4 linked regions of the Pelodiscus sinensis genome follow. The protein of the gene in region 1 interacts with the protein of each later gene in a pairwise test. Links are inferred from orthologs where the notes say so. Each region holds a gene or a part of one and is shown on either strand. Other genes may lie near its edges.

Region 1 (7,600 bases):
ACTTTCACGCTCCCGCTCGGGAAAAAGCCCTCTTGCGCAAAAATACTTGTGCAAGACGGCCAGTGTAGACAGGGAAGAACTGTTTTACGCAAAAAAGCCCCGATGGCTAAAATGGCGATCGGGGCTTACTTGCACAAAATCGCGTCTAGACTGACAACGGATGCTTTTGCACAAAAACACTTTTTGCGCAAAAGCATCCGTGCCAATCTAGACGCACTTTTGCGGAAATACTTTTATCAGAAAAACTTTTCTGTTAAAAGTATTTCCGCAAAATCATGCCAGTCTAGACGCAGCCCTAGTTTTTCAATGACAGATAGAAAAGAGCCTTCAAGCATCTTTCCCTCCTCTACCCCCCATCTCCTGAAGTGGTCCTGGATTTGTGCTTAGAAAAGTGTATTGATGCTGAAAGCATTTGTATTGACCTGCCACAGGTGTTTCTAGCTTTGAAAGGTAACGAGCTACTGGACCTTATAATTACATCACTGTATCATATTGCTTGTTTTTTTCTTTTCTGACACTTGATATGGTTCTAGTAGCAGACATTTTACAAAACTACAGAGTGCACTTCCAAGCTTGCAGAAGGCATAAAGCTAAAAATTAATGCTTTAACAATACAAGACGACAGCTGCTAAAGCAGCGTCAGATATTAAGCATTCAATAAAATGCTTAAGTATAACCCCAACTGTAAGTGCAAGAAGCATCGCTGAAGTGAATTTTAGGCTTGAGTACACAGGATGATATTCAGAATAATGGAATGTGTCCGTGTACACTAAGGATGTTAAATAATGATTAATTTACTAGTTGAGTAGTCGACGGAATTTCCATCAACTACTCGATAGGCACTTCTGCATTCCTCCTTTGAAAGTTTTACCACTGAAAAGAGGGAGGGTGTCTCCCAACTTTCCAAGGCCATAAAATAGACTTCATTTCTAGATCTCCTGAAGTGCAAGACATCGGACCTTACAATGGCAATTATTAAAGCAGGTTCTGAAATGTGCCCTGAAATAGGGATGTCAACATGTAGCCGAATACATGATTAATCGATAAACCTCTGCTGTATCAAAGGCAGCAGCGCAAGGCAACAGGTGGGAGCTGATCTGCATCGAGAGCCAATTTTTAAATCGGCTCCCCTCACAGACCAGCTCCCGCCTGCCACCCCATGCTGCTGCCTCCGATAGAGAAGGAACAGCGTGGGGCAGCAGGAGGGCGCCCCGTGAGTGGGGCCGGAGCACACTGGCTGCTGACCCTGCCCCCGGGGACAATCAAATAGTTGTGTAACTACTAAAATTTGATGCAGTTACACGACTAATCAATTAATCACTATCTAACATCCGTACCCCTAAAGTCAGCTAACTGGGCCAAGCATGGAGGAACCCACAGCCTCTCCACTGAGAATGCTCAGCCCCCTAGTATCCAAAATTAACAAAACCAAGCTCAGCCCCCTAGTATCCAAAATTAACAAAACCAAGCTCAACTTTTAAGTCAAACCCAAGGCAGAAAGTAAGTCTTTAAAAGTCCCAGATACTACTGGGATATTGAACTGTTACTCTGAAACACTGCCTGCACTGAGCCTTCCTGAACCAGTGCTGAAAATGACTTAAGTGCTACTGTTGCACAACTTAGTGCACTATGGAGTTTTGCATCTGGTATCAGGCACTGTCAGAGACCAGACTAGATGGAAGATGGACTGAAAAGGTGTCTCTACCAGTAAGGGAACTTCCCAGGTTCTTGGGGGGTTTGTCCATAGTCTGAACACAACATTCTTTTCCTACCAATTCAGTTTTTGTTCATAATTTGGGGCCCACAGAAATACCTGCAGTTCCAGGGTGACAAGGGCACCCAAAGCACAGTTTATAGACTTACTCATCAACACGTTTTGTGATAAAGGTGCAAATTCCAGTCCTAAGGTGTTGAAACATGTGCCTTCCCCACATCCCTGCAGTGAAGATACAGCCCCAGTGGGGTGGGGGCACAGAGCCTTGCATGAACAGCCACAGCCAGACTCCAGGCTACAGTCACCTCATCACACAGACTCACAGCCAGGTAAAGTCAGACATTGACCCAGTGTGACCCAGCCCCACAGGAACTGTCACGGGCTCACAGACGGACAAAAGGCTACAGTCCCCTCGTCACCCAGGAACAGTCAGACAAGGCCAGCCACAGTCAGACCCCCATCTACAGTCACCTCACCAGGCAGACAGACAGACAGACAGCAATAATATCAGGGATGGTCTAGACAGTACTGGGTCCTGCCATGAGGGCAGGGGACTGGACTCGATGACTCTCGAGGTCCCTTCCAGCCCTAGTATTCTATGATTCTATAAACAGCACCGCACAGGCGGGCAGCAGGCGACAGCCCCTTGTCTGCCAGGGACAGTCAGACACGGCGGCCAACCCCCGGCTACAGACACCTCGCCACACAGAAAGAGTGAGAGCTTCACAGCAGGGTACAGTCTGACCCAGCCCCACAGGAACAGCCACGGGCTCACAGACAGACAAAAGGCTACAGTCCCCTGGTCACCCAGGGACAGTCAGACACGGCGGCCAACCCCCGGCTACAGTCACCTCGCCACACAGAAAGGGCGAGAGCTTCACAGCAGGGTACAGTCTGACCCAGCCCCACAGGAACAGCCACGGGCTCACAGCCGGACAAAAAGCTACAGCCACCCAGGGACAGTCAGACAAGGCCAACAACAGTCAGAGCCCCGCCTCCAGTCACCTCAGCAGACAGCCAGCGCCGCACAGGCGACAGCCCCTTGTCCGCCAGGCACAGTCAGACAGGGTGAGGGTGAGCGCCTCACGGCGGGCACAGTCCGACCCAGGACACGCCCCCGCCGAGCCGTTACCTCCGGGCCGGCCTCTCTCTCCTCGGCGGACTCGCGCCGCCGCCTCTCTATGGTTGGCGCGGCCTAGAGTCGCCGGTCACGTGGTCCGCTGCTAGGGCCGCGGGGCGGGACGGGGCTGGCGCGCGCGCCGGGTGTCAGGTGCGGGGCTAGGCCCAGAGGCGGGAGGGGCCGGCCCGCGCGGTGGGGGGGGAAGGGCTGCCCCCGCCCCGGCCCCCTGCTGGGGCCCCTCAGCCCCGCGCGGGGGGGCTGCTCCCCGGGCCCGGAGGCGGGTGGGGGAGGGGACGCTGTGCCGGGTTGCTACTGCGCATGCCCGGCGGGGCGGAGCCTGGCGGGCGGTGCCCCGCCCCTGGGCGGGGCGTCTCCATGGCGACCGGGTAGCTGCGCAGCGCTGGTGCGGGGGGTGCGCTGGAGATGCTCTGAGGGGTCACTGCGGGGGGTGCCCTGGGCGCAGGAGCACAGCCGGCCTTCGCCTGTGTGGGGCCGACACCGCCGGGGACACAACAGGTGTTTGCGGTGGGGCCGGGCCGTGGCCCGTCACCCGTGGGAGGCGATGTCAGCCCCTTTCTGAACAGGCAGGGAAACAATCGGCCACAGGTCTGAGAGAGTCTGTCTGTTTCTACAGCGTGAGAGCGAGGGCCAGCGAAGCCAGGACGCCGCTTCCACTGAGCACAGCTTAAAGCAAGGGCAGGGGCGGGTTGTGCAGGACAATGGGATGCGCCTGGAATGGGATTGACTCTCATACCACCGTACTGAGAAGAGAGAGAATCACCAGGCAGGTCCCAGCCCTACCCCGCAGACACCTGTTAGGGAGGGCAAGGGGAGGCGCATCTTCCCCCAGATTAATACGAGGACATTGCTGGCTCCCTTTGGGGAGCACGGGGAAAGTGCACAGTGTGCTGCATTCCTCCCTCTGGCTGGGGAGGACGGGGCAGACGAGCTGTGCACTTTGCTCTCGTTCTCTGGCAGGGACAAGAAGAGGAAGAGCAAGTGACCCTGGTACAAAACTCAAGGAGCTTCAGCCTCTTTGCTTACCCCGCTACACACACACACACACCACAGTCCCCTGGCCAGATCCCCTCCCTACCCTCCCACTCTGACTCTTACCCACCCCACTTTCCCAGTTCCCTGCCCTGAACACCTTAGGAACCTGAGCAAAGCCACGTACATGTGCTAGTTTGTTGCATGGACAAAAACTGAATTGGTAGGAAAAGAAACATGTTCATGCGTCTCATAGGGCAATACAAACAATGGAGGGTATTAATAACTATGAAAAACAACTGTGCCATGCCCTACTGACTGTAAAACAGCCATTAAGCTATTTAAGAAAGGAGTCATGGCCAGGGCAAGCATAGAATCTAAGCTCCATCTTTTTGGGTTCTAGATATCAAGGATAATTTCTGCTTTATGTCGCAGATCTATCTGCATGTAAATTGTGCAAAGATGGACAGTGAAGTGCAGAGGGATGGAAGAATCCTGGATTTGATCGATGATGCATGGAGAGAAGATAAATTACCATACGAGGATGTAGCAATACCTTTGGTAGGTGAACACAGTAAGCTGCTTATAAGCCTATATTATGTGTCTACCCCCTTTAACCTCCTAACAGAGGCATGGCATAGGAAATGTGCCTTACAGTTCTGACAGTTGTATGAATGATGCTCCCTCACTCCAGGGGCCAGCTTCCCATTTATTTTATGCGGGGTGGTGGATTTCTTCCAGCTCTGCATATCTCCGGCTTGGTGGAGGAATAAGTGCTTCTCTCCCTGCAGCTGACTGCCTCGCTTTGGAAGGAGAAAATGCTTTCCCATAATCTAGGCGAGCTACCTGTTTCTTTGGAGGGTGGAATGTTTCTTTCTATCCTCCCCTCATACTCCTAGTACCACCAGTCTGTGAGGAGCGGGTTCCAGGACTAACCTCTTCCTCAGCTTTTTCAAGTGCTATGCTGCTGGCCCGAGTGGAGAGGGGAGGACCCAAAGACTTCCCCTTCACTTATATACTTCCAGTACTGCTAGCCAAGAGTGAAGAAGGGAAAACTCCTAGGTCCACTTAGCAACTATCTTTGATCTGTCACAGATTACTTGATAGCACACCCGGATCTTCACAGCCCCTTGTCTCTAGGCATAGATACAGCCTTGTTATTAACGGAAACGTCTCATTTAAGCCTGATAAATCTTGAGATTTTCTCCTTAATTAACTGGATAAAGCCCTTCCTCGTCCACTCTATTTTGACAGGCTGCCTTTCATGTTGAGACACTTCTCAGCCAGCCATGATTTTTGCTCACGGAGTGTATGTACTTCAGGCTTTTGTACCTGCATCACCTTTTGCAAAGATCCCTTCTTAGAGTAGTGATGGACTTCCAAATTGTAGGCCACTCATCCTGCTAGATTTCTTCCCTCCCACGTTTGCATACTCAAAACCTTCAAGCCTCTCTTTATTCTTACATTAGACAAAGTTTGTGAGAAGATTACTTGAAGGGAATTAGTCTCCTATCACAGACATATGCATAGCAACTCACTATCTTCACTTAGCCTCTGCAGGTGTACTCCAGCGTTAGGGAATGATCCGATCTCCACCGTGCGGAACTGTGGTTCTCTTTTTAAGTTCTGGAAGCCCAAACTCTCCTACCTGTTGGAGTTTATTGGGATGTGCCTCGTTAAGCTGGCTGAATACAGAAACCTCTTCAGTGCTGGTACTTGTTTCATCTTATGGTCAATTAACTAGATAGCGTCACTCCTTTTTGGGTAGTGGGTGGAGGGAGGAACTATGTAACTACTCTTGGAGACTGAGGCGCATGCCCAGAGTGGAGGAAGAGTTCCTTACAGCATACTTCTGAGGTTTCCTGGGCTTGCCCTGCAGATGCTCATACTAACAGTAGAAAAGGCCTGAGTGTGGACCTAAAGACCCCATGAGACCTGAGCCATTGACATAGGATTGGCTGTTGGCAAGCTAAAAACCAGAATGGCAGCTTTGGGATATTCCTTCATTCCCAAGTCAAGAAGGAGCTGACTAAAAAGTGGGTGGTGCTTAGAGCAATGGGCAGTAGGTGACCACCAGTAGCTTGAGCCCTAACTGCTGCTACTGCCTTCAGAGTCTGAGCTGAAGCCCATTGAAAACAATGAAAAAACTCCCATTGGCTTCAGCAAGCTTTAGATCAGATCCTCCGTGAACAAATTCCTAGAGTTTGGGGAGCTCTTTTGTCTCTCGCTAGGATGCCAAGACCCAGGAACGAGATGATATTCTGGGGAATTACGCATAGTCTAGCAACTGCACAGTTATGATAGCACTCGCAGAGAAAGATGGTTAAGAGAAAAACAAAACAGTTACGCTATTGCTCATCCTGACAAGCTGTAGACTCATCAGTTTTCTGTTCCTAAGGCAAAAGCACCTCGGGAGTGCTTTCCAGTGTTCTGTATGGCACTAGCACAGCCTCGCCTCTTTAGAGCCATTGACCTCAAATTCCAGACAGAGTGCTGCTTATTTTGCTCTTTGTTACCTTCTGTATGACAGAAAAGAGAGATTTGAGAGAATGCCTTATTTAAAATTCGGACATAGAATACTTACATATTTGGACTTTATTATGGGAGAAAAAGGTTGCACACAGGCAATAAACTATTTGCGTTGATATCTACTTATTCTATGTTTACCAGACATTACAATCATTTATTTTGCTGTGTACGCTTGGGTCAGCCAGCCGTCAAGTTAGGAAATCAACTCCTAAAACGAAGTACAGAATTCTTGTGGAAATGGAATGCCCATATTTGGATTTGTTGATATTTTTAGTGGAAGCAGTATGTACAGTACATGCTCTTCTGATGCTCCCTTCAGCCTTAGTTGCAGATGTGTGCATGTACCAGTATGAAATGATGCTAAGCTGATCTTGTCAGGGTGCTTTGAAGGTATAGAATGCATTGCCCCTTTTGTGTTCTCAGAACGAACTTCCTGAACCAGAACAAGACAATGGTGGTACAACAGAGTCCGTAAAAGAACAAGAAATGAAATGGACAGACTTGGCTTTGCAATATCTTCATGAGAATGTTCCCCCAACAGGAAACTAGTAAATCAGTGTTATTTCATGGAATGATTTCAATGCAAGAAGACGGTTTCCAGCAGATCCTCACCATCTCCTGTCTCACTGCTTTAACGAGTCAAAACTTTTAAAAAACCTTCTGGTCTCAAACAGCTGTTGTATTCCACAAAAGCACATTACAGTTTAAAAGGCCCCATGTGACTGATGTAAAATAACTATGACATACCCTAAAACTGAGAGGAGGTGGCCGAGTGCTTTTTCACAAATGCAAAAAATTCTGGAGTCCTGTTGACAACTTCTTTATAAGTTGGTGCCAGTTCGTTTAATCTTAATTGCTTTTTGTGTATGATCAGAGAGGTAGTTATCACTACCTGAAAACTGATCATTGATCTCAGAAGTGATTTGGTGAATTTTTGTGGTGGCTTTGATGTTTTATAGACCGAAAGCTATTCTTTTATATTTGGGAGCTACTGTTAGAGTTAGAAAGCAACTACCAACCAACTTTTACAGCCTTTAACTAGCCTGACACAGGAAGGACAGAGAAAAAGGTTAATGAACAGGAGATTAAGGAATTGAAATTTGTCTGTAGACACAAATGACGATGGGAAAAGAAATTCTTTATAAAGAAAGCAGCCTAGGAGATTGCCGATTCTGGTTGGAGCACATTCCCAATGCTGACATCCTGTGGTATGTTTGCTAACCTGCATACTGTAAAAGAACACAATT
Region 2 (7,987 bases), on another chromosome or scaffold:
ACCAACATAAACTTGTATCTTTCTCTCTATAGTAGCATTCTCAGTCTGTAGGCTGCTTGCAGCCCAATGGGCTCACAGCTGTGACCTATGTGTGTGCCATCCTCAGGGTCATAAAGGTAATATACAGATTGTATGGATGCAGCCCCCATAACACAGAGAGTTACATATGCAGCTCACAATGGTATATATGACTGCTCTAGATGCTTCATGGTATGTTCAAGTGTTTTTTTCTGGCTGGGAGTTTTGCACACAGGATGACAAGTCAAAATGGCTAAATCTCCTGTGGCACTTCCACACTGATGATATTTCTTTAATAAACACCAGCTACCTAGATCATCTTCAGGACTATTGGGAATAGTGTCTCCAAGATGTCTTAATGCAAAACATGATTTCACTCACAGGCCAGAAACAATAAAAAATTAGTCACCTAGCTCTATTAACAAACCCTTGTACTTAATGCTTGAAGAAATCTCAAATCTTAGTAGTTTATTTTCCATTTACAAGAATTTTAGTTTTGATACTGATCATACAAAATCTATGTCTATGGACAATCACACAGTGAAAGCACAGAATCCTGTGTAGACATAATGTAGAAAGAAATATCTTTTCTTTTCCACTCCCCCTGCCACTTTTCCTAATATAAGGATGCAAATTTCCCCACAACTAGAGGACTAGAATGGAATTTATGCTACATTCAATTGCTCACTCCATTTTTGCACTCAAGTTAAGTCTTGAAATAGATTAATGTTTCATATGCTTCAAAATCAAAGAATCTATGTTTAAAATCAAGGTGACTTAAAATAATTTTAAAAGGCCACTTTCCACTGCTATGGATGGATATTTCGGAGACACTGCAGTCCTGCAGATTTTTTTGTTTGTTTGTTAAAATAGGCCTGTAGATATCAAACTACTCTGTTGATCTGGAAGACCCAATGGATTCAAGTTCATGTATTGTGCCATTCCAGCTGTGGGTTCCCTTTAGTAATATCTGCATTTCAGGTCCACAAAACTGTCAGCCTATTTAAAAAATTAATCCAAAGCCTTATAACCAATTAGTTGTAACTTTATATGGCTAATCATGTAAAAAGTCAGGAATTTAATAAAACAAATAAAACAATAAAAAATAAAACAAATGTTTCTTCTGTAAATATAAAAAGCACCTGGTAATAATATGAAAGAAGACTAATGAAATTGGAAAAAATCCAGACCAAGGACTGTAGATTTCATTTAAAGGGAGACTGAAGTGCAATCCATTTCAAAGAGCAGAAAATATCTTTACACCACTTTTGGAAAGTACAGTATTAGAATTTAAACATTTAATGGTGATGATAACACGAATACGTTTCAAGTAAAAGGTAAAAAAATACCAGGTGGTCTAATGTGCATTCCCGCATAATATGAAAGGGCACTTTATAAGAACCACTTTGAATATATCCCTCTGATTTACATACAGTCTGTGTTTAAAGGGTGCATGAACAGTAGGTGCCTATCTGCTACAATATAAATACGCACCGTTTCCTCTCATTTACAATAACATTCTTCCTCTAACCCCTCCCTAATGCTGCTACTTTTGTAGTATCAGATTAATGTTCTACAGCCGCAGGCTGGACTCCATCAGACCGCATTAGAGCTGCAGAACTGCAATCGCATAACTCCCCCTTCATTACAGAAACCAAGAGCAAGCAAAAAACAAAAACAAATAAAACCTCGCTCGGAACGCACAATTGCCACCCGCACCGCCGCTGCAACACACGGATCGGAGTCACAAACCACCAACATAAAAGGCAAGCGGGTAGAATGGTTGGGCCGTGATTGCGTTTGTCTCCGAGCGGAAAAAAAACACAATCCCGATTTCCTGTTGGGTGGGGTTTTGACAAGGGAATCATACAAAATATAGCCGGAAAACCCCGACTAAAGGTTGCTAGATCACTGCATTGTGCTGCATCATTTCTCCTCGGGCATAAGGGCAGGGAGAGCCATCCCAGTAACGAAAACACAGGCACGAATGACTGGCACACGCTTCCCCAAGAGAACTACTGCACCCGGGCAAACACGACAGACCAATGCTGACAGATACACGGACTGGGTCCGGTTTGGGTTTTGCACGACGGGAAAAGCACGATTGCCGCGATCCAGCCCCCTCCCGCTAACCGGACAGCGGGGACCCTGGCAGATCCGCACCCCGCCCTACAGCACAAACCTGTTGCGGTCCTGGATGAGGAAAGGGGCGAGGGGAACTGCCCGGACGCCTGCTGAACGCCCAGCCCAGAACGACAGAAGGGCGGGGGAGAGGCTCCCGGCCGCGCCTGTTTGCATCCCGTGTACCGCTACAGGCAGCCACCTATGGCAGGCTCCCAGGCTCGGGGTGGGGTGGGGAGCGAAGGGAAGGGGGGGGGATTAAGCTTCCTGCTGTCATTCGCCCCCCCCCCCCCACGTCGATACCCCCATTCACGGCTGGACCGTTCCTCCCCGTGCCCACGCACAAACCCGGCAGCGGCAGCAGTGCCCGGGAGCAGGCACAATAATCCCGCTGCAACACAATGATGGAGGCTGTGCCCGCGCTGGGGGCGCGCCGCCCGCACCCACACCGCCATCTCCCTGGCAGCCCTGCTCGCTGCCCCCCCCCCCCTCCTGCAAAGGGAGCCTCACCCTGGTGCATCCGAGGCCGTCTCCCCCTTTCTCCGCAATCCCCCACACCCTGCCCGGGCGCGGTCCCCTCCTTGCGCCCCTGCCGTGGGGAGGTGTCAGCCCCCTGCCTTTGCCATGCCCCCTGCAGCCCCTGGGGAGGGGCAGGACGCCTCCTCTGGCGGAGAGGGGAGCGAGCCTGTGCCCTGCTGTCCGCATGCACCGAGACCCCCCTACCTCGCGGGGCCGGGGTGCCGCTCCCGTGCCGGCGCGCGCAAGGCTCCGCAGCGCTGAGGGGGAGATGCCGCAGCCGTGGCCGGGGCTGGCAGCTCCGGGCAGTGGCTGGAGTGAAAGGGAGGGGACTGGAGCAATCCGCAGCCAGCCCGCCTGCACCGCGACAGCTGCGCCGAGCCGGCAGCCAGGGGGCGGGGAGAGCGCGCGCACCCCCGCCCCGCGCCCGGGCGGCAGAGGGAGGGGGACGCAAGCGCCCTCCTCCCTCGTGTCCTCCCCCCCCCCGCACCCAAGCAAGCCCCTCGCCCTGCTTGAGCCCCGGCGGGCGGGCGGAGCGACACGCACCCCAGTGCCGGCTGGGCGCTGGCCTCCCGCTCCTCCTGGGCCGCGATGCGAGCAGACCCGGGCACACGCGCGTTTTGCAACCTGCCTGACATGGAGGCGGAGGGGCAGGCGTGGGGCTGCTGCTGCTCCGGGATACAGTCTGTGCATTGGCATCCCTAGCAGGGGCGGAGGTCACCCGGCACTGAACGGTAATGTAATCAGCGCCATTGCAACACTGGGTTTCAGAGAGATGCTTTGGCATCGAGGGTTTACTGTGTGGGCCCTAGGCACGGATAGGAGGGCCGCAGTTTTGCGCATCTCCCTCTTGGGTGGTGAGTAGGCATCCTCACCAGCTTTGTGTGGCTGCTGGGATGGCGGCGGAGAACTGCCTTAACTGCCTGCAGAGGAGCAGCCTGTGGGTATTTGCTTTTCTATAGACGAGTGGTCAGCAGAGGGACTAGGGCCCAGCAGCTCTGTGCAATAGCTTGTGCCTGGGGAGATGTGTGGTTAAGGCTCACCAACTCTCCCACAAGTGGAAGGAGCAGAGGTGAAAGTAAGCAGGTGCACCCTGGTGCACAGCTCCAGCCACAGCTGGCTGAGCTGTGGCAAAAGCCAGCAGTGGAGCTATCTAAAGAGCTGTCAGCCACCCCCATTGCAAAAGGACAGTAATTGTAAGTTACTTTCCCCACTGAGAAGGAGTTTAGTAGTCTGACCCCAACAGAAATTACCTTTGTCATAAACCACAAGGCTCCTCCGTTTGGGATAAACTGGACATTTTCCCCCTCAAAAGCTGTGTGATGTGCACCCTACTCTGGGCAACACAGAGTTAGCAAGCCAGAGAGACTCAGCTGGTCCTGCCCCATCACAGCTGGGAGAGATGCAAAAAACAGAGTAAAGAGCTTAAAAGGCACTTGGCTCTGGCACATATGGAGAGAGTGTTGACTTTCAGTCTCCAGTGCCGGGAGAGGAGATCACTTAAAGGCAGGAGATCCTAGAATGGCCACTGCCCACTGGCCCCTTCTGGAAGGAAGGAAAATAACCTGAGGCTGACTCTCCCTGGCATGCAGGAAGAGATCAGTCCCCTCTATTTAGTTGGGAACTCTGCTTAGGGCTGCAGCCTGCTGAACAGCCCCAGAAGGAAGATAGCCTTTACCCTGTTTGGGGAATATTCACTTGTATTAATTCTTCTTTTGTTCTGTTCCAACCCCAGAAGAGTGGGCTATCCAGACCCAGCTGGAGAGCTGAGCTTCTTAGGTGTGGAACTGGAGTGGAGAAAAATACCTGATCACCTGTGCAGAGCAGGAGCTCTGGGTCCCACCCCTCAAACAATGGGGGGAAGGAACTGTGGTGACCTGGGCATAATTTATAACAACTAGAGTACAATACTTTGTATAAAATCTAAGTATTTTTTATTTGCAGCAACACTGGTATGTCAGGGCCCCAGTCAGGGGTGAAAGCCTTGTTATGATATGAACTGTATAAACACATATTCAGAAGACCATTCCTGTCCCAGAGATTTAACAAGCCAAGTGTGGGACAAGAAACAACAGACATAAAATAGGCAAAGAGAAATATGAGTTACCAATAAAATGATCCTTTTTTTTTCATAAAAAGCAGAAATTTTAGCTCACAATCTGCCTGATCATTATGACAACATCAACAGTTGAGTGGAGTGAGGCACTACCAGCCATGGGGCTGCTATGAAATAAGGACAGAACAGAAATTTTTGACACAGAGTGGAATATCAGATGATGAACAAATGAAGATTTCACTTCAACTTCTTTTTCATCATGAATGGATGAAAGAAGCAGGAATTCGTCTCTTGCTATTCCTAGTCACAACAGCTACAGCTAAGCATTCTTTTTTTCTCATTGAATAGAATTTTGTGTTTTGAAAGAAGTCACCTTGTGTCTGATCATGAGCAAATCATGAAAGGCTGGAAGTCAGATTCTAACAAAAAATAGGTCACATGGAACAAAGAGCATTTTAGAAGTTTATATATATCATGAAAGGAAATAAAGTAAAATAAATTGTACAATTTAGGTGCCAAGTTTTGTCACCTTTCTGCATGCCAAATAAAACTGCACCCCCCTTCTAATCACACTGAAATCAATAGGAATACCTGCGAAGTAAAATTCTAGTCAACCTGAGTAAGGTTGACAGAATTTGACTCAATGTGAAAATTCTACAGAAGAGAAAAGTAAAAGTTTGCAGATGATACTAAACTGTTCAAGATAGTCAAGACAGGAACAGACTGTGAAGAACTTCAAAAAGATCTCACCAAACTGAGTGGGCAACAAAATGGCAAATGAAATTTAAAGTGGATAAGTGTAAAGTAATGCACGTTGGAAAAAATAACCCCTATACATACAGTATGATGGCGGCTAATTTGGCTACGACAAATCAGGAAAGAGATCTTGGAGTTATCGTTGATAGTTCTCTGAAAACTTCCACACAGTGTGCAGCAGCGGTCAAAAAGGCAAATAGGATGTTAGGAATTATTAAGAAAGGGATAGAAAATAAGACACAGAATATCTTAGGGTATGTCTACACTACCCTGCTAGTTCGAACTAGCGGGGGTAATGTAGTCATCCGCAGTTGCAAATGAAGCCCGGGATTTGAATTTCCCGGGCTTCATTTGCATGAAGCCGGCCGGCGCCATTTTTAAATGCCGGCTAGTTCGGACCCCGTGCCGCGTGGCTACACGGACTAGCTAGTTCGGATTAGGCTTCTAATCCGAACTAGCTGTACACCACGGGGTCCGAACTAGCCAGCATTTAAAAATGGCGCCGGCCGGCTTCATGCAAATGAAGCCCGGGAAATTCAAATCCCGGGCTTCATTTACAACTGCGGATGACTACATTACCCACGCTAGTTCGAACTAGCGGGGTAGTGTAGACATACCCTTACTCCCCCTGTATAAAACTATGGTATGCCCACATCTTGAATACTGTGTACAGATGTGGCCTCCTCACCTCGAAAAGATATTTTGGCCTTGGAAAGGGTTCAGAAAAGGGCAACTAAAATGATTAGGGGTTTGGAACAGGTTCTATATGAAGAGAGGCTAAAGCGACTGGGACTTTTCAGTTTAGAAAAGAAGAGATTAGGGGGATATGATTGAGGTATATAAAATCATGTGTGGCGTGGAAAAGATGAATAAAGAAAAGTTATTTATTAGTTTCCATATTAGAAGAACTAGAGGACACCAAATGAAATTAATGGGTAGCAGGTTTTAAACTAATAAGCGAAAGTTCTTCTTCACACAGCGCGTAGTCAACCTGTAGAACTCCTTGCCAGAGGAGGCTGTGAAGGCGAGGACTATAACAGGGTTTAAAAGAGAACTAGATACATTCATGGAGGTTAAGTCCATTAATGGCTATTAGCCAGTATGGGTAAGGAATGGTGTCTCTGTTTGTCAGATGGTGGAGATGGATGGCAGGAGAGAGATCGCTTGATCATTACCTGTTCGATTCACTCCCTCTGGGACACCTGGCATTGGCCACTGTCGGCAGACAGGGTACTGATCTGGATGGACCTTTGGTTTGACCCAGTATGGCCTTTCTTACGTTCTTAAGGAGAGCATGACTAATACAATATTTGCTGACACTGGAAAGTAAAATAAAAGGCATTCACTAATGCTTATACAGCTTTTGCGCAAGAGAGCGTTCACGGTGCATGGATGCTCTTGTGCAAGAAAGCTCTGACTGCCATTAACAGAGTGACCATCGGGCTCTTTTTCTGATAGGCTCTTTTTGTGCAAAAAACCCCTGCGGAGCGTCCACACATGCCTTTTTGCACAAGAGCTGTAGCGCAAAAAGGAGTTATTCCTCATGGGGAGAAGAATAATAAAAGCCCTCCATCCTGTCGATTTACTGTTTTGTTGGGTTTTTTTGCACAAAAACATACTTGATATATGGATGCTCTGCCCGTTTTTGCACAAAAACCTTGCAGTGTAGACATAGCCTAAGTATCATATTACCAGCTTGACCACTGTTCCTCTACTATACTGATATAGATCTTCAAAAGTATTTACACTCCTAACTTCCATTTATTTAAATGAATTTTGAAAGCCTAAATATCTTTGAGGCTCAGGGCAACAGTTCCTTAGGTTACGGCCCATTTTATATGCAATGTATAGGTTATAATGATAAACATGTAAAATCTGTGTGTAAGAGTCTGTGATTTTCACTTTTAGTGGCCTGCCAGCCAGAGATTGCCTCTGGCACCCTAATCTCTCCCTTTCCCCAACCCTCTTTCCCCTCACTCCTACCCCCCTACCCTATATAAGCCAAACCCTCCATCCCCCTCCTGAACTCATGCCCCCTCCCAGACACTGCATCCCAATCCCCTGCCCAAGGTAACAACTCAAACCCCTGCACCCCAATCACCTGCCCTAAATCACAACCACCTGCTTAACCCAAACTCCCTCCCAGAACCCCCACCTCCTCCTGCATCCCGGTCCCTTACCCCAAGTTCCCTGCTGCATCCAACCTGCATCCCACACCCCGCACCGCCTCCATTAATATAATGGAAGAGTGTAGCCCTTGACCACTTTCCAAAAGTGCCCACCCCCATAAAAAATTATTGTCCATCCTTGGTTTAAAGGGTAAAATATTTAAATTTTAATAGCCCACTATGAATAGCTCCCAAGCAAATAGGCAGTGCAAAAGAACAAGTGTGTAATCTATGAAAGAGAGTGGGTAAGAGCGTCCAGTATATTTCAAGATTTTATTTCAACACACATAGTTCAAATATGGGTGGAGCAAACATTCACTGTGCATGCACTATGTGAGAAAGTGCTGGAGAA
Region 3 (7,620 bases), on another chromosome or scaffold:
GAAAGTCTATTTAAGGAAAGGAAAGCTATTGGTCTTTGGCTGGCCTTTGAAACTGCCTCATCCACGAGAGGGGACACACATGAAGAAATCTGAAAACAAAGAATTCTCAAGAACTCTAAGAAGCTGTAGACCAGGGATACTCAACTTTGGAAGCCCAGGAGCCACAATGATACTCACAGCACATGCCGAGAGCCGCAATTTAAGTGTGGTTGCATATACATGCAAATATATATGCAAACGTGCAAATAGCTTCTATCAGACTAATGGGCATGAATACAAAGCACTTCCCACAATGCCCTAGTGCTCCCGGCACCTCCTCCTTGGGGGCTAGAAACACCGAAACCTTGTACCCATCTGTTCCAGCCAGCCTGTCTGTTTGCTTCTTTCAATGCTCACCCCACTTGGAAGGCACCTCGCCATTGTGGAGAGTGTTCCCAGTGGAGGCTGTGTTCAAAGGATCCCACCTGTGGGCCACATGTTGAGCCCCACATAAACCCAAACCACACCACAGGCTGCAAACAAACAGACTATGGGCCGCATGCAGGCCATGTGTTGAGTAGCCCTGCTGTAGTCCTAGGCCAGAGTAAAGATCAATTCTGGCTTGCACATTTTACCTGAGATAAGAAAACAACTGTTAGGGAAAGAGTCTGCATGTAACAAGTTTCTTAGTGGATTGAGGAAGGCTTCTATGTGGACCCTTACTAATGGTCACAACGATAATCTTGATTTCTACACTGACTGCTTTCGCAAACGTGCTTGAGCTGACATTGTCAGCAAACAACATATAACCACAGCCATGCAGAAAGCAATGCTATACACAACCTCAAAAATAATTCTAACATCATAATCAAAGAGGCTGACAAAGGGGGCCCTGTAGTCATCATGAACTGAACAGGAGGTGACCAGACAACTCATCAGCACCAAATTCTACAAGCCTCTCTCCTGTGTCTCACTAAAGAATTCCAAAAAAACCTGAAACAGCTGCTCATGAGACTCCCTTATGACCAAATTTATACTAACAACCCCCCCAATCCCTGACCAAGAGTCTTCTATCTGCTACCCAAGATACACAAGCCTGGAAATCCCAGACGACCCATCATCTTAAGCATTGGTACACTTACAACAGACCCTGTGCTACCAGCACTTCCTAGCTATCTTTGAGACACCACTGACTTCCTGAGGAAACTACAAAACATCAGTCATCTACCTGAAAATACCATCCTGGCCACCATGGACATAGAAGCTCTTTACACCAACATTCCACATGAAGATGGATTATAGGCTATATTCCCTGATTGCAACATTGCACACCTGGTTACAGAGCTCTGCAATTTTGTCCTCACCCACAACTACTTCCAGTTTGGAGACAATTTGTATCTTCAAGTCAGAGGTACAAACATGGGCACCCGATGGCACCACAATATGCCAATGTCTTTATGGCTGACCTTGAACATTTCCTTTGCTCTTGCCCCCCCAAGACCCTTACTCTACTTATGCTACATTGATAACATCTTCATCATATGGACCCATGGGAAAGAAACCCTTGAAGAATTTCACAGAGATTTCAACAGCTTCCATCCCACTATCAACCTTAGCCTGGATCAGTCCACACAAGAAATGCAGTTCCTTGACACAACAGTACTATTAAATGATGGACAAATTTCCACCACCCTATATCGGAAACCTACTGACCGCTACACTTACCTTCATGCCTCTACTCATCCATGTATTGTATACAGCCAAGCCCTCCGATACAACCGTATACAGCCAAGCCCTCCAATCCCACAGACAGAGACAAACACCTAGAGGATCTATATACAGCATTCTTAAAACTGACATACCCAACTGGTGAAGTGAAAAAAACAGATCAACAGAGCCAAAAAAGTACCCAGACATGAACTACTTCAAGACAGGCCCAGAAGAGAAAACAACAGCATTCCACTTATCACCTACAGTCCTCAACTTAAACCCTTCCAACACAGCATCAACAGTCTACAGCCTATCCTAGAAAATGACACCTCACTCTCAGAGGATGTTTGGATGCAGGAGTGCTCGGGGCTGGGGCAGGAGCTTGGGGTGTAGGAGATTCATGACTGGGATAGGGTTTCGGGATGTGGGCTCCAGCTGAGCACTGCTTACCTCAGGTGGCTCCTGGTTCATGGTGCAGTGGGGCTAAAGCAGGCTCACCCTTGCCCTGGCCTACTCCCTAAAGCAGCCAACAAACTGCATTCCAAGTCCTGTTGTGCCCCCTCTCTGCTTTGTGGAGAAAGGATACAGATTGGCAGGGGGTAGCTTGACATCTGCACCCCTTCTCTGCACAGAAAGCAGGAGGCTCCCCAGGGGGAGAGGCAGCTCTAAGGCAAAGGGCAGGAGATGAGCAGCAGTGAGGGGAGGAGCAGCTGAAGTGCCAGCACTTGATAGCCTCTTGGCCAAACCAGTCAGGGTCACATGTCAGAGGCTCCAAGATCTACAGGTAGATCCCGATCTCCAAGTTGGTGACCACTGAGATAAACAAACAATGGAACACAAGAAAACAATGAGACAGTGCTGGTTAATATGACTGGCTGTGATATCAGCATACCAACTACCTAATTCTATTTATTATATCTTAAAGGAGGGTGTTAAAAAAGGATTTCTAGTTTCACAGATTGCAAGGCCGCAGGTGTCCAGGCCATAGAACTTTCCCAAAATAATTCCTGGAGCATACTTACCATCTTTTAGAGAAACATTCAATCTTGGTTTTAAAATTGCCAGTGATACAGAATCTACCAAGAGCCTTGGTAAATTGTTCTAATGGTTAATTACCTTCACTGTTAAAAATTTCTAGTATGAATTTGTCTAGCTTTAACGTCCAGCCCTTGGATCATGTTATACCATTCTCTACTCATTTGAATAGCCCATTATCAAATATTTGTTGTTCCCTGTGTAGCTATTTATAGATTGTAACCAAGTCACCCCTTACTCTTCTCTTTGTTAAACTACACAGATAGATTCAAGGATAGCAATCATTTTAAGTCATGTTTTCTGATCCGTTAATCATTCTCATCTCTCCTCTGAACCTTGTCCAGTTTATTAATGTCCTTCTTTAAAGGAAAATGACGAGGTACCTGAACATTCTAGGGTTTGTTTGTTTTTTGCAAATAATGGGGGAGCCCAAACTTATAACTCAATGAGGTGGGGGGCTCAGCTCAAAAAGTTTAAAAAACTACTCATTGTTGGCAGATGGGCAGCTGACGAGCAAGTATCTGATCAGCAGTAAGACCAACTAGTACTGATGGGAGGGGAGAAACTGAAAATATGGGACAATTTGCCAATTTTAAAGAAAAAGTAGGAACACCTTCAAGGGGGCTTTTAGAGGACTGTCTCTTTGAAAATGGGACATCTGTTCATCTTAGTTATGAAAGGCCTACAAAATGAAATCAAGAAGCTTAAGTTTGTTGCAATGACAAAAGAGGAGCTGTAGCCAATGAGAGCTCTGGATGGTAATATCTGGGGGTGCAAGGTTAACCAGCCTTTTTGGCAGCCTGCTAGTGGCTTACCCCATAGGCCACACATATGCCCACCACTGGATTATAGTAGAGGGACACAAAAAAAGGCAGGGCTGGCAGTGGCAAAGTGCCTATTTAGGAAAATAATCTTCACTCAGTAATGGGGCAAGATTGTATTTGTCAAAGCCAGAGACAAGATGTTGCAGTAATTGAGACAGAAGTTGATGGGAACCTAGACTTTTTTAAAATTATCATAGAGTTTATGATAATCATGGACCAGACCCTTCTCCAAAGAGCATGTCAGGATGGATTGAAACTAAAGGTCTTATCTTGCAGATATGATGCAGAAAAAAAAAATCAGCTAGATTTAAATAATTTGGTCATCAATAAACTGGTGATCAATAATCTGGTCATCAGCCTTAACCTGCCCTCTCTAGATTCTCACAGCCTAGATGTGAGACTATAGAGATGGCAAATTAAATCAGACGGCCAGATTAAAAATCTGGTAGGGACAATAGCAACTTGACTATGGGTCGGCAATAGCATGAAGGAGATAGACCTAAAAGACACGATTGACCGGTGAGACAGAGCACATCTTGCTGGTGCTCTGATTTCCGTGGTTGTACGAGAGGAGTGGGTGGGCTGTGTTAGGGCTGCGGTTCCACACGCCTAGCCCGCAGCAGAGGAAAGGGATGTGGACGGACCCTGAAGCCAGAGAGGGGGCAGTTCTCTGTATGGCGGAGGCGAAGCACAGAGCACGCATGGTGGGGAGGGAGAAGGGCCCCTCCACGCCGGGCACGTTTCTGATCCGCCTGGCAATTTCCGTGCCCCGGGAGTCAGGGCAGCGATGCAGTTACTGACGCAAGCTGCGTGGGGAAGGTGGCAGGTCCCGGGCGGCGCTACAACCGGTTTAGCAGAGCCGGTTTGGGAACTCGTTCGGCGAAGCTAAGGCTGGGGGCGGGGCTGGGAACGAGGCAGGGCGGAGCGGGTCAAGGTCCGGACCGCTTGCCAGCCCGCCCGCCCGCGGGAAGCAACAGGCAAAGGGGAGGGATATTGAGTGGAGCCGGCTGAACCTTAGTCTCCGCCCAGAGCTGCCCGCGCGCGCTGGAGCCGCATGACAGTTAAAACCGTTACCGCTCCCACTTTCGAACTGATTCAAACTCAGCAGCGCCCAACAGCCTGGCCCCTCCCTTCCCGGGCTCCGCGGGCGCTTCCTCTTCCACCAACCCCCAAAGACTTCGCCGCCCGCAGCCGACGGGGACTTCAAGGCTCCCCCCATTGCCCGCGCGCGCCGCTACGGGCGCCCCAGGGGGGGGGGGGGCTGAGGGGCGCGCGAGGGGAGCACGGAACTCGCCAGGTCCCCAGCCAGCGCGAGAACAAAGAGCGCCCTTCCACCCCCTTCTTCTTTCCTCCCCCCCACACGTGGGGCGCGAACGCTCCGCCCCCGGCACCGCCTCTGGCCGAGGCGGATTGGCTCAGGCGGCCCCTCCACGTCCGTCCAATCGGGGCGGTGCTTGGTTCTCTCCAATGAGCGTGATGCCGATTGGGCCGCCGGGTTTGGCGCTCGGTCCGGGAGGGTGAATCCGGCGGCAGAGCGAAGCGGGGACCCGGAGGCGGCGGCGGCAGCGGCAGCAGCACCGGCGGGCGTTGGGGAGCGGGGGTGAGCGAGCGAGCGCGCGGGAACGGCTATTTCTAACCTGCGCCCTTTGTCCGGGGGGAGGTGGCGGGGGGATTATTGGGGGATTGAATGGGGGGGGGCAGCCGCGAGGAAACTCCCCCCCCCCAGCGGGAGAGGGCGGTGGGGCGCGCGGGGGAGCGGGCGGTGGCGGGGCGCGCGCTGCCGGCCGGTGACAGCTGGAGAGAGACACGGAGCGTGAAGCGCCCTTTGTCTAAGTTGGCTCTGCCCACCCCGGCGGAGGGGATCCCCTCCCCTGGACCGACCCGACTGAGACAAAGACGGGACTAGAGCCGAGGGCTTGGGACCCCTAACGAGGGCGGGCGCGAGGAGGAGCGCAGCTTGTCTCTTCCTTAAACCCAGTCCCCTCACTCCCCATTGATTGACTTCAGACTAGTGGCGGGTGCAGGAGCAGTTTGACTGTGGGGAACCCCCTCCCCCCCTCCCTCCCTTCCCCCGGTTACAAGGCAAACGAGGTTTTAAAACGCCTGATTGAAACGCGCAGCAAAACCCTTCGTTCCCCGAGAAGGAGGCGGGAAAAATTGAAATTACGCTCCCCACGCGGGGCGGGGGGCTCCTTGCTGCGGGGAGACGTTTAGGCACTTGGGCAGGTCTGCTTCAGTCTCATGTGTTCTTACATAGTCTCCCGGAAGCTGATGTTCCGTGCGGGGGCTGTTGAGCTGTCTCTGGGTTGTTCCTCCTTTTGCTGTTTCATACGAGTTGCTGTTTTGAGTCTCCCCTTACATTCCCCTTCTCTATGTATACGCAAATCTTGGGTGTAGCAGCAAAGGTGTTAAATGCAAAGGCAGTGGGGGCGTGTTACTGACAAACGTACCTGAAAGCAACTCGAGTGAACTTCCGAATTTCTAAAGTTCAGTACTGGGTCCCTGTCTTCCACAGCATTGCCTGGCTTTTCCCAAGTTCAGATAGGCTGAAGACTGTGATTCTAGAACAAAGTGTATTGAACATGAGCACACTTCAAAAAATATGTTTTTTATTGAGTCATTTTTGGTAGGTGTAAGGGGGTGGTGTTGGAGGAAGCTGCCTATTTATTCACACTGTAAGAGTCAACGAGTGGCTGGTAAATATGATGCAGTAAGACTGATGTGTAATCTGGTATTATTGTAGTGTTCAATGTTTAATAGTTGCCTGCAGGTGATTCAGAAGTTATTGGGAGTGAGAAGAAGAAAAGAAGCTTGTAGGTGTGTTTATGTAAATTAATTTGGATTTTGTTCAAGTAGCTTCTTTTCTAGTTCTGAAATACTATCCACATTGTTCTGGAGTGGAAACCATACAGCATTAGAAAGTTGGGAGTTCAGATTTCTTTTCTTTTCCCTCTCAGAAATGAAGACCTTGAAAGACTTCATTTTTAGATTTGTGTTTGCAAAATTCACCTTTTGTGCTATTCCACTGAATGGAGTTGTATAGGTTTACACCAGGATACAAATGTAAAGGGATCAGAAGTATGTATTGGGGATTCTATTGAATTTCTAACCTGGGATTTCGTTATCTAGTTTTAGAGAGTAATGCTCTAGAGTCTGAATGCAATTTGTAAGAGTTAATTAAAAGGCCACTCTTTCTGTTTATTCTAAGTGTCCATATCAAATTGGGAGCCCCTGGAATGTTTATTTGTGGTAACCAGAAAGCATGTTGTGAAGGGTGAGTACTTGTAAGCACTGTACTGTAAGTACTTTCAATTTGGTCTCTTAAAATGTGAATATTCAAGACCTGTTGATACCTCATGAGCAATCCTGCAATATAGCACTCTTATTTGGTTTTGTTTTCTTTATTATTTTAGTGTGGAATCTTGCATGTGAATAGGATATTAGAGAATATGTTAACTTTTTAATTCTATGTACTTTTTATTCACTCACCTAAAGAGACAATCCTCTGTTGCTTAGCTGTTTTGAAGATGTTTGAGACATTAAATAAAGGGTTATCTTTAAACGATGAGACAAATTCTTAGGAGACACCTCTTGTTTTCATGAAAATGTACCTAGTTATTGAAAGGCAGTGGTGGAAGTGTCTACATAAACATTTTTTTAAAGCTTCCCATGAGGTGTCAACAATTATTTTGTCTTAAAACTATGCCATATTCAATAGTCACTAGTTTAGGTTGACCGCAATCTGCAGGATTTGGGTTTGTCACAGGGATATTAAAAGATAACTGCTTCAAAAAGTGACTTTGTGGAACTCTTTGTCACTGACAGGCAAATCAAATGAGCTGTTATTTTTATATATATCTTTAACTTAGTCCTGTAAATTGAAGCTGGGAATTTGAAGGTTAAGTTGTTTTCTTTTCTGCTTCTCATTGGAACTACTGAAGACTTCAAGTGGAATTTAGTTAGCAATGTTGACAATAGAAAATAGTTCTCTTCAATAAGAAACAGAGGACTGAAATATAGTAATCATTACATATAATCAGCATATATATGGGATTTAAAGGCCCTTACTGTT
Region 4 (7,605 bases), on another chromosome or scaffold:
GATTGTTCCTATAACTAAATCATAGTCAAAAAGTCTCAGAGAGCTAGTTGTGTTAGTCTGTGCCTTTAAAAACAACGAATACTCCTGTGGCACCTTAGAAAATAACAAAAATATATATAGTATCATGGGCTTTCGTGGGCAAGACCAGCTCGTCTGAAGAAGTGGGTTTTGCCCACAGAAGCTCATGATACTATATATTTTTGTTAGTCTCTAAGGTGCCACAGGACTACTCATTTTTAAATCATCGTCAGACTTTTAGGCCACGTCTTCACTGCAGAGTTTTTGCGCAAAAACTTGTGGAGCGTCCACACTACACGTGCTTTTTTGTGCAAGAAAAAGTACAGTAGAGCATCAGAAGTCAGGGCTTTTTGCGCAAGAGTTATTCCTCTTTCTACGAGGAATAAGCCTTTTTGCGCAAGAGCTCTTGCACAAAAAGGCAAGTGTGGACGGACAAAAGAAACCCCTATTGGAAAAAGCACAGGTGCTCTGATAGCCACTCTGTGAATGGCCATCAGAGCTTTCTTGCGCAAGAGCGTCGATGGCAGTGTGGACGCTCGTGCGCAAAAGGCCATCTCTTGCACAAAAGCACATGGCAGTGTGGACGTGCTATTGAGCAAGAACTTTTTGTGGAAGATCTCTTCCGCAAAAAGTTCTTGCGCAAGAAGCCTGCAGTATAGACATAGCCCCCCTGTGTAGGTCTCGTTGAAAGAAATGTGGTGTCTTTCTGATGTTCCTAAGTGGGGAGGGGTTTAAAGATAAAAATCCTAAAGCTTAAGAGTGTGATACTTGATAGGAGGGGAATTATACTTAGAGACTGAGGGTAGTGGAGAGGAGGCTGTTGTCACACATTTCCTGAGTAGAAAAAGAGATCAGATTGGCTAAAGCAGGGGAGGTACTGCCGAGGGACTCCTTCCCCAGTGACTCCCTGCCATCTCTTCCGTTATGTTCCCCTGCCCTTATGCTCCAGTCCCATTGTTTCCACATATGTTGCTCTCTTTCCTCCCTTCTCCCATCTCCTAACCCATCTGCCACCTACTTCTCTCCCCACCTCCTGTCATCCCTGCTCTCTGCTGTTTTCTTCCTCTGCCTCCTCCAGCTGGCCACTGCAGAACATGCGCAGTGAGGCCTCCCCAGAATGGAGGAGGGGGAGGAAGGAAAGATGAGATTCATCATAACACAGAGAGCTGATCCTTCCGCCAAGCAGTGAAAGGAAAACCAAGTCCCTTTTAAACAACATATTTGTGAAAGATTGGAACAGAAAAAGCGCTCAGCGCTCGTAACTCACCCTCTGCACGGTGCACATTACATACACTGCTATATTCATAAAGTTAGTTAGGATTTAAATATTAAAATCAACCTTTTACTCATCCTCTTAACTGACAAGTAGTGTTTGTGAGGGACTGATACAGTATTTGTTTTTAAATGATCATGAACATTATTTTAAGGATATGTAAGAAGATTTCATGTTTAGGCTGACCGATTTATATAGACTGTAAATAGAATGTTCTGCATATCCATCAATATGTCACCACTATTTATCTCCTGTTTAAAAGCAGATAGCCCTGCTATGAGATGTTTTATTCCCTATACTCAAAAGTATATGTGTGTCCTTGCTAGACACCCATTGATGTGTCCCTGTTCCATGTATTCCTTATGTCCATAGATGAGTTTTAGGGAGACAAGGAGGGTGAGGTAATATTTTATTGGACCAAAAGAAACAAGCTGTCGATCTTACACAGAGCTCTTATTCAGGCCTGGGCAATGTGCTCAGTGTCACAGCTAAATACAAGGTGGAACAGACTGATTAGCATAAGTAGCTAACACATGGTTCAAGGGATCATTTAAGGTGAAGTGGCCCATTGCAGTCCCAACAACACTGCATACATCGGTAGGGTTAGCATGTACAAACTGACCTACATTTTTCAAAAGTCATTAGAGATTTTGGATGCCAACCAAAGACACCTTAAATGAGCCTGATTTTTAAGAGGGCATGCGCTTGTTACTTTCTGAAAATAAAGCCTCATTATTATTTTTTTTAATTTCAGTAGTACCCAGGCACCTTAATTACTATCACTCCATTGTACCAAATGCTAAATTGGGCACCCAAAACTAGTAATGTGTGGTGGTATAAAATATATACTATATGTATGGCATACATTTCCTTCCCTGTGATAGGCCTTTGGGCACATGCATAGGACATGTTCTGGCATTATAGGATGCCCAAAATATAAGAAACACATGAATCTTTTTATCTACATAAAGAACACACAACTCCACTATGTACAGCAGCCTACACTTCCAAAAGTGACTAATGATTTTGGATGCCCAAAGAGAGGCATCTTGGTGGCACCCGATTTCAAATCATGATGCCTGACAGGTGTCTCAAATTGGACACACAAAAGCACTAATACCTTTTGGAAAAAATAGCAGTACACAGTGTGGCTGCGTCTACACTCATGGCTTCTTGCACGAGAAATATGCAAATGAGGCTAGGCGTGGACTATCGCCAAGCCTCGTTTGCATACCTAATGAGCCGCCATTTTTGCAGAAGAGACTCTTGCGCCCGAGAGAGCTATCTACACTGCCCCTTCTTAGGCAAGAAAACCCCTCTTGCGCAATGCCGCTACGCCGATTATTTTCAGGAAGAATGGCATTGCGTAAGAGGGGTTTTCTTGCGCAAGAAGAGGCAGTGTAGACAGCTCATTCTGGCGCAAGAGCCTCTTCTGCAAAAATGGCGGCTCCTTAGGTATGCAAACGAGGCTCGGCGATATTCCACGCTTAGCCTCATTTGCATATTTCTCACGCAAGAAGCCGTGAGTGTAGACATAGCCTGTGTGTGTAGGTGAGTGGATACACTGTGTTAGGGTCACACTCATGCATTATATAGATGTCTGTAGAGCACATATGTGTACGCAGTGTAAGTAACGAATATATGCATGCATTATATAGATGACTCCTGGGCATGCATTTAATGTGTTTATATCAATGACAGTGGTTCTCAACCTGTAGGTTAATCAGCACCCAGCTGTGGCCCAGCTGACAGCCTCGAGGCCATACAAATGTAGTGTATATGTATATGTATGTGGCCAGGTCCATGGCCAGGTCCATCCAAAACATGCAGCCACGTGGGGCACTGTGAAATTTGGGGCACCAAAATTTCATAGTGCCCTAAGAGTTGTATATGGTGTCCAGTGGGCCCTGTCCCCATTCCCTGCTACCCTTCCTCCCACAGGCAGTGCTCAGCCACTACTCACCAAGTGGCGGCAAAGGGAGCAGGGGACAGCCATGTGGCTGGAGAGAAGTTGCAGTTTCACCTTCAGGGTACGTCTAAACTCACCGTCGACGGAGGCATGTAGATTAGACAGATCGGCAGAGGGAAATGAAGCCGCGATTAAAATAATCGCGGCTTCATTGAAATTTAAATGGCTGCCCCACTCTGCTGATCAGCTGTTTGTCGGCAGATCGGGGCAGTCTGGACGCGCCGCGTTGACAAAGAAGCCTTTCTTGATCGGCACAGGTAAACCTGGTTTCACGAGGCATACCTGTGCCGATCAAGAAAGGCTTCTTTGTCGACGTGGCGCATCCAGACTGCCCTGATCTGCCGACAAACAGCTGATCGGCAGAGCGGGGCAGCCATTTAAATTTAAATGAAGCCGCGATTATTTTAATCGCGGCTTCATTTCCCTCTGCCAATCTGTCTAATCTACATGCCTCCATCGACGGAGGCATGTAGTTTAGACGTACCCTTAGAGTGCTGCTTCTCTCCTGCCAGTGGTCTGGCCACTCTCCTCCTTCTCCTGAACCCTTCGGTCCACACTTGTGTTGCTCCCCACTGCCCACACCGGAAACACCGCCACCCATTGCAGCAAATGGTGTCTGATCCAGGAGAACTGGCAACCCTCTAGAAGACCCTTCACAGCTTCTGCCCCCGGAGCTCCACTGCAGAGGGGCTGGCTTCCCCCTGGAGCAGGATGGGTGCAGGTGTTGGGCTGTGACAGCCCCTGCAGGCCCCTGGGCAAGGTGTGTGTGTGGGGAACAGGCTGCACGCTCCTGGAAGGGGTGGGGTCTTGGGTGGAAAGGGTGGCATTGGGGGCACCCAGCCCTCCCAGTGGTTTAAAGTGCACCATGCCAGCCCCCAGGCAGCTCAGCACCCCCCCCCCCCCAGTCCATAGCAGACCAGTCGCCACCACTGCCCCAGTACAAGGGGTGACATGGTGCAAAGGGGCAGCTGTTCCCAGGACAACTGCCCCTTTTGCCCCCTGTGTGGGGGCTGGCAGGTAGGGCGCCAGGGCTGGCAGGGGCAACACACAACACACCCCGGGGTGCAGACGAGTGAGAAACTGAGGGTAGGGGCTGGGCACAGCCTGGCTGGGGGGGGGGGGGGTGCCCACAGGGAACCCTGCCTCGCGGGGGGGGGGGGAACACGTTCTGAGAGGAACGCGCGGGGGGGGGGGGGAGAACACGTTCTGAGAGGCACGCGCGGGGGGGGGGGGGAGAGAACACGTTCTGAGAGGCACGCGCGCGGGGGGGGGTTGTCCCGCGCGAGGGGCGGGGCCAGCTGCCGGCCCTTCTTTCCCGCCCTGCGGCCCGGGCCGCGGCTGGCTCGCTCGCGCCGTCCTCCCCTCCGCGCGCGCGCCTCTCCCCGCCCCTCCCGCAGCGCGTCTCAGCCCCGGGGGCGGCGGGAAGGCGGGCGCCCGCCATGGAGCCCTGAGTCCCGCGGGCAGCAGCCGCCGCCTGGAGCATGGCCCGGCACGGGCGCTAGCGGCCTCCCAGCAGCGCCCGGCGCCGCGCCGCCAGCATGGGGTGCTGATGGGCCGCAGCCCCGACCGGCAACCCCGCGGCAGGGGAGGTGAGTGGCTCGTCCCCACCGGGCCGGGCGCCTTTGTGCGGCTGCAGCGGGCAGCGGGCATGCTCGGGGGGGCGGGTTATGCAACGCCGCCGTGGACAGCGTGCAGCCGGGGATAGCCTGCGAGAGCCGGCCGTCCTCGTGCATGCGTCCCGGCGGGCGGGCGCTCCCCTGCGGCGCTGCAAGGGGCATGCTGGCGGCGTATGGAGGTATTTGTGCTTGCAAACAGCGCGGGCCTGTGTGGCTGTTGACATAGGGAATGCATGCAGCGGGTATGTGGCTGGGAGTAGCATGCATGCCGAGATCCTGGTCTGTTGCAGGATACAGTATCTAGTATTGTTTGGCGATGTAAATCCGCAGTACCCCTATGTCTGTGTGTAGTGTGTGTGTGTGTCTATTGTGTTTGTCTATTGTGTTTACTTCCGTGTTTACAGTATGCACTCACATCCATGTTACAGTTTGTGTAGGTCTTTTTTTTGCAATAATCCTATCTATATCTATATCTATATCTATATCTATATCTATATCTATATCTATATCTATATCTATATCTATATCTATATATCCATTGATTTGTATTGACTGTCAAATGCAATAAAGAAATTAACTGGGTGTATTTCAGTTTGCGTGCAAGTATGCATGCTTTTATCCTCTCTTCCGGTGTGTCACGTTTCTAAATAATCCCGTGTCTGACCAGTCCTGCAAGATATAGGCCAGTCCTGAAAGGTGCTTAGCATCCTCCTCTCCTGCGGGAAACTGAGGGCCCCTAATATGGACTCTTTATTTCTAGGTCCCCAATCTTGAAATAAACTCTGATTTGGAGTACTCTTGCACCTGTGTGGTGTTCCAGTGCAGCCATTAGGACTCCATGGAGGTTCAGGGGGCTACCTGGGCAGAATTCATTTTTGGCATTGGGGGCTTTGATGTTCTAAATCTTGTTCAAACTGGCATAATTCCACTTTATTTGTACCCACTTCTCAGTCCTGTAATTTTACTGCAGATAGGGTATCAAGTATTTCTTGTGCTTTAGCTCTTGTTTTTGTCCATATGATCAGTTGTCCCTAATTCTTTCTGTCTTAGATTGATTACTCTCTAGCAAAAATATGCTTTAAAATACAACTGTGCTATATTTTAAACTCCTGATCTGACTCTAAAATTGTGCAGTCAGGTTTCTTGGATGCTGTTGGTTTTTGTTTGGTGGTTCTTGGTTGGTACCATCAGTTGCAGTGATGGGGACCCCCCATGGAGAGTGTTTTCTTGAAAGATGACTGAATTACTCATGATGTTGTTTCTTGTAATCCTGTCCTAGAAGGGATGAGAGAAACAGATAATGTTGCCCTAGGTTATTTCATGCTAGTGGTTTAAAGAAGCCTTTGCAAAAATTCTCATGATAATTTGCTACCTTAGGCAAAAAATCCATTTCCCCACCTCTTACCCTAATGTTGGAAAACAAAATTAATGATGCTTTATTGCCTGTTTTAAAAAAAAAAATGATTAGTTGCCCTGGGCAGGCAGGATTAATATGGCTGACTTAAACAGTTGCTTTTCAGCTGCTGTGTAGCTCACAATGCCCCTTTCCCTGCATCTCTGACATAGGCACAGTGTTTTGAATTTTTTTAAAAACCCCTATGTATTTAAATTGCACAGAAATCTCTCCGGTTACGTGGTTCTAGTCTTCCCCCTCAAGCTTGGCTAATGTTTTTACTGTCATAGAGTGATGAGTCTGTAGGCTTTTGCAACCTTTAGATTAGTTTATTGCAGTGCTTTATTTACAATTACCTCAGGGATACTTGTATATGGCACTAGGTTTTGTAAGGTATAGCTAGTAGAAGTTTAGCTCTGGGAAAGCAACCACAATATCTTATTCCAGACTTGGGGAAATCTTCTTTGGATTGCTGCCAACAATTATATTTGCTTTTAAAATTGTTCATATGCTTTGAAAATGTGGTGCACAGTTCTGTGCCTTGTTCCGACCTGCTCTGTCTGGAAAAACTGTGGGTTTGAGCTCTGCAGAGCTAATCTGTTGGGAAAGCCAATAGGCGTTGAAACGTTTTGGTGTGTGCACTTTTAATTGCTCTGCACCTCAAATTTGGAATGTTCTCTTAGCTGGGGTTTGGAAGGCCTCATTAAAAGACTCTTCTTAATCTGTTCCTTGTATATTCTTATAGATTCTTGCTTTTTGTGTGTTTGGGATCTAATTTAAAACACCTTCTGAGACATTTGCATGAAATGTTTCTCTGCTAGTATAAATCTATTGGGTTGCTTAAATGCCCTTTCCAAAAATATATTGCACTGTAGCTATTTGAAGAAGTATAGATTGCTCTGCTGCAAGTTAGGGGCTGCTACTCTGTGTCTGTTCCAGCAACTGCTGGAGTACACGCTGGTGAAGGCCTTCAGGGTGGAAAGTCTGTGGGAAGGGAAATAACGCCACAAAACACCTAGGAGTTCCCTTATATTGGGGTGCTGCTTGTCTGGGATGGGGCCAGGCCAAGATGACTCCAGGATATGCACCTTGGGGGGTCTCACAGCAGCAGTTGCTGTTCATGGAGTTTGGGGTGGACATTACAGATTAAAGCAATATCTTATATCCACCTCCTAACAACTGGTAGGAACCATGAAAGAGGAGGGTTGTGGCAATCACACCCTCTCTCCTCTTTTGGGGTGAATCTCTGTGGAGCTTTGCTGGCAGCTAGAGGTTTAATATTGTATACTCTTTGGGCTAGCAAATAACTTTGTTCTGTGTTTGTAAAGTGCCCGGT

The links.
Region 2: the proteins of CEP63 (region 1) and SPTBN1 interact in a two-hybrid assay, tested with the Homo sapiens proteins (2 studies listed by BioGRID and IntAct). The link is inferred for Pelodiscus sinensis from reciprocal best matches to the Homo sapiens genes CEP63 and SPTBN1.
Region 3: the proteins of CEP63 (region 1) and EZH2 interact in binary tests that used the Homo sapiens proteins (3 or more experiments, as listed by UniProt). The two-hybrid records come from large-scale screens. The link is inferred for Pelodiscus sinensis from reciprocal best matches to the Homo sapiens genes CEP63 and EZH2.
Region 4: the proteins of CEP63 (region 1) and CCNI interact in a two-hybrid assay, tested with the Homo sapiens proteins (2 studies listed by BioGRID and IntAct). The link is inferred for Pelodiscus sinensis from reciprocal best matches to the Homo sapiens genes CEP63 and CCNI.

What each region holds. Positions count from the first base shown.
Region 1 is NC_134720.1:1,059,303-1,066,902, reverse strand, and holds the start of CEP63 (centrosomal protein of 63 kDa), read right to left. Parts: upstream 3,001-7,600; 5' UTR 2,720-3,000; intron 1-2,719. Other genes in the region: ANAPC13 (anaphase-promoting complex subunit 13), read left to right, coding at 4,287-4,385, 6,777-6,902. UniProt on the Homo sapiens protein: Required for normal spindle assembly.
Region 2 is NC_134713.1:175,365,024-175,373,010, reverse strand, and holds the start of SPTBN1 (spectrin beta chain, non-erythrocytic 1), read right to left. Parts: upstream 3,012-7,987; 5' UTR 2,863-3,011; intron 2,674-2,862; exon of another isoform or gene 2,650-2,673; intron 2,339-2,649; exon of another isoform or gene 2,201-2,338; intron 1,747-2,200; exon of another isoform or gene 1,723-1,746; intron 1-1,722. UniProt on the Homo sapiens protein: Fodrin, which seems to be involved in secretion, interacts with calmodulin in a calcium-dependent manner and is thus candidate for the calcium-dependent movement of the cytoskeleton at the membrane.
Region 3 is NC_134712.1:160,849,568-160,857,187, forward strand, and holds the start of EZH2 (histone-lysine N-methyltransferase EZH2), read left to right. Parts: upstream 1-4,611; 5' UTR 4,612-5,148; intron 5,149-6,756; 5' UTR 6,757-6,784; coding exon 6,785-6,822; intron 6,823-7,620. UniProt on the Homo sapiens protein: Polycomb group (PcG) protein. Catalytic subunit of the PRC2/EED-EZH2 complex, which methylates 'Lys-9' (H3K9me) and 'Lys-27' (H3K27me) of histone H3, leading to transcriptional repression of the affected target gene.
Region 4 is NC_134715.1:8,573,120-8,580,724, reverse strand, and holds the start of CCNI (cyclin-I), read left to right. Parts: upstream 1-4,589; 5' UTR 4,590-4,849; intron 4,850-7,605.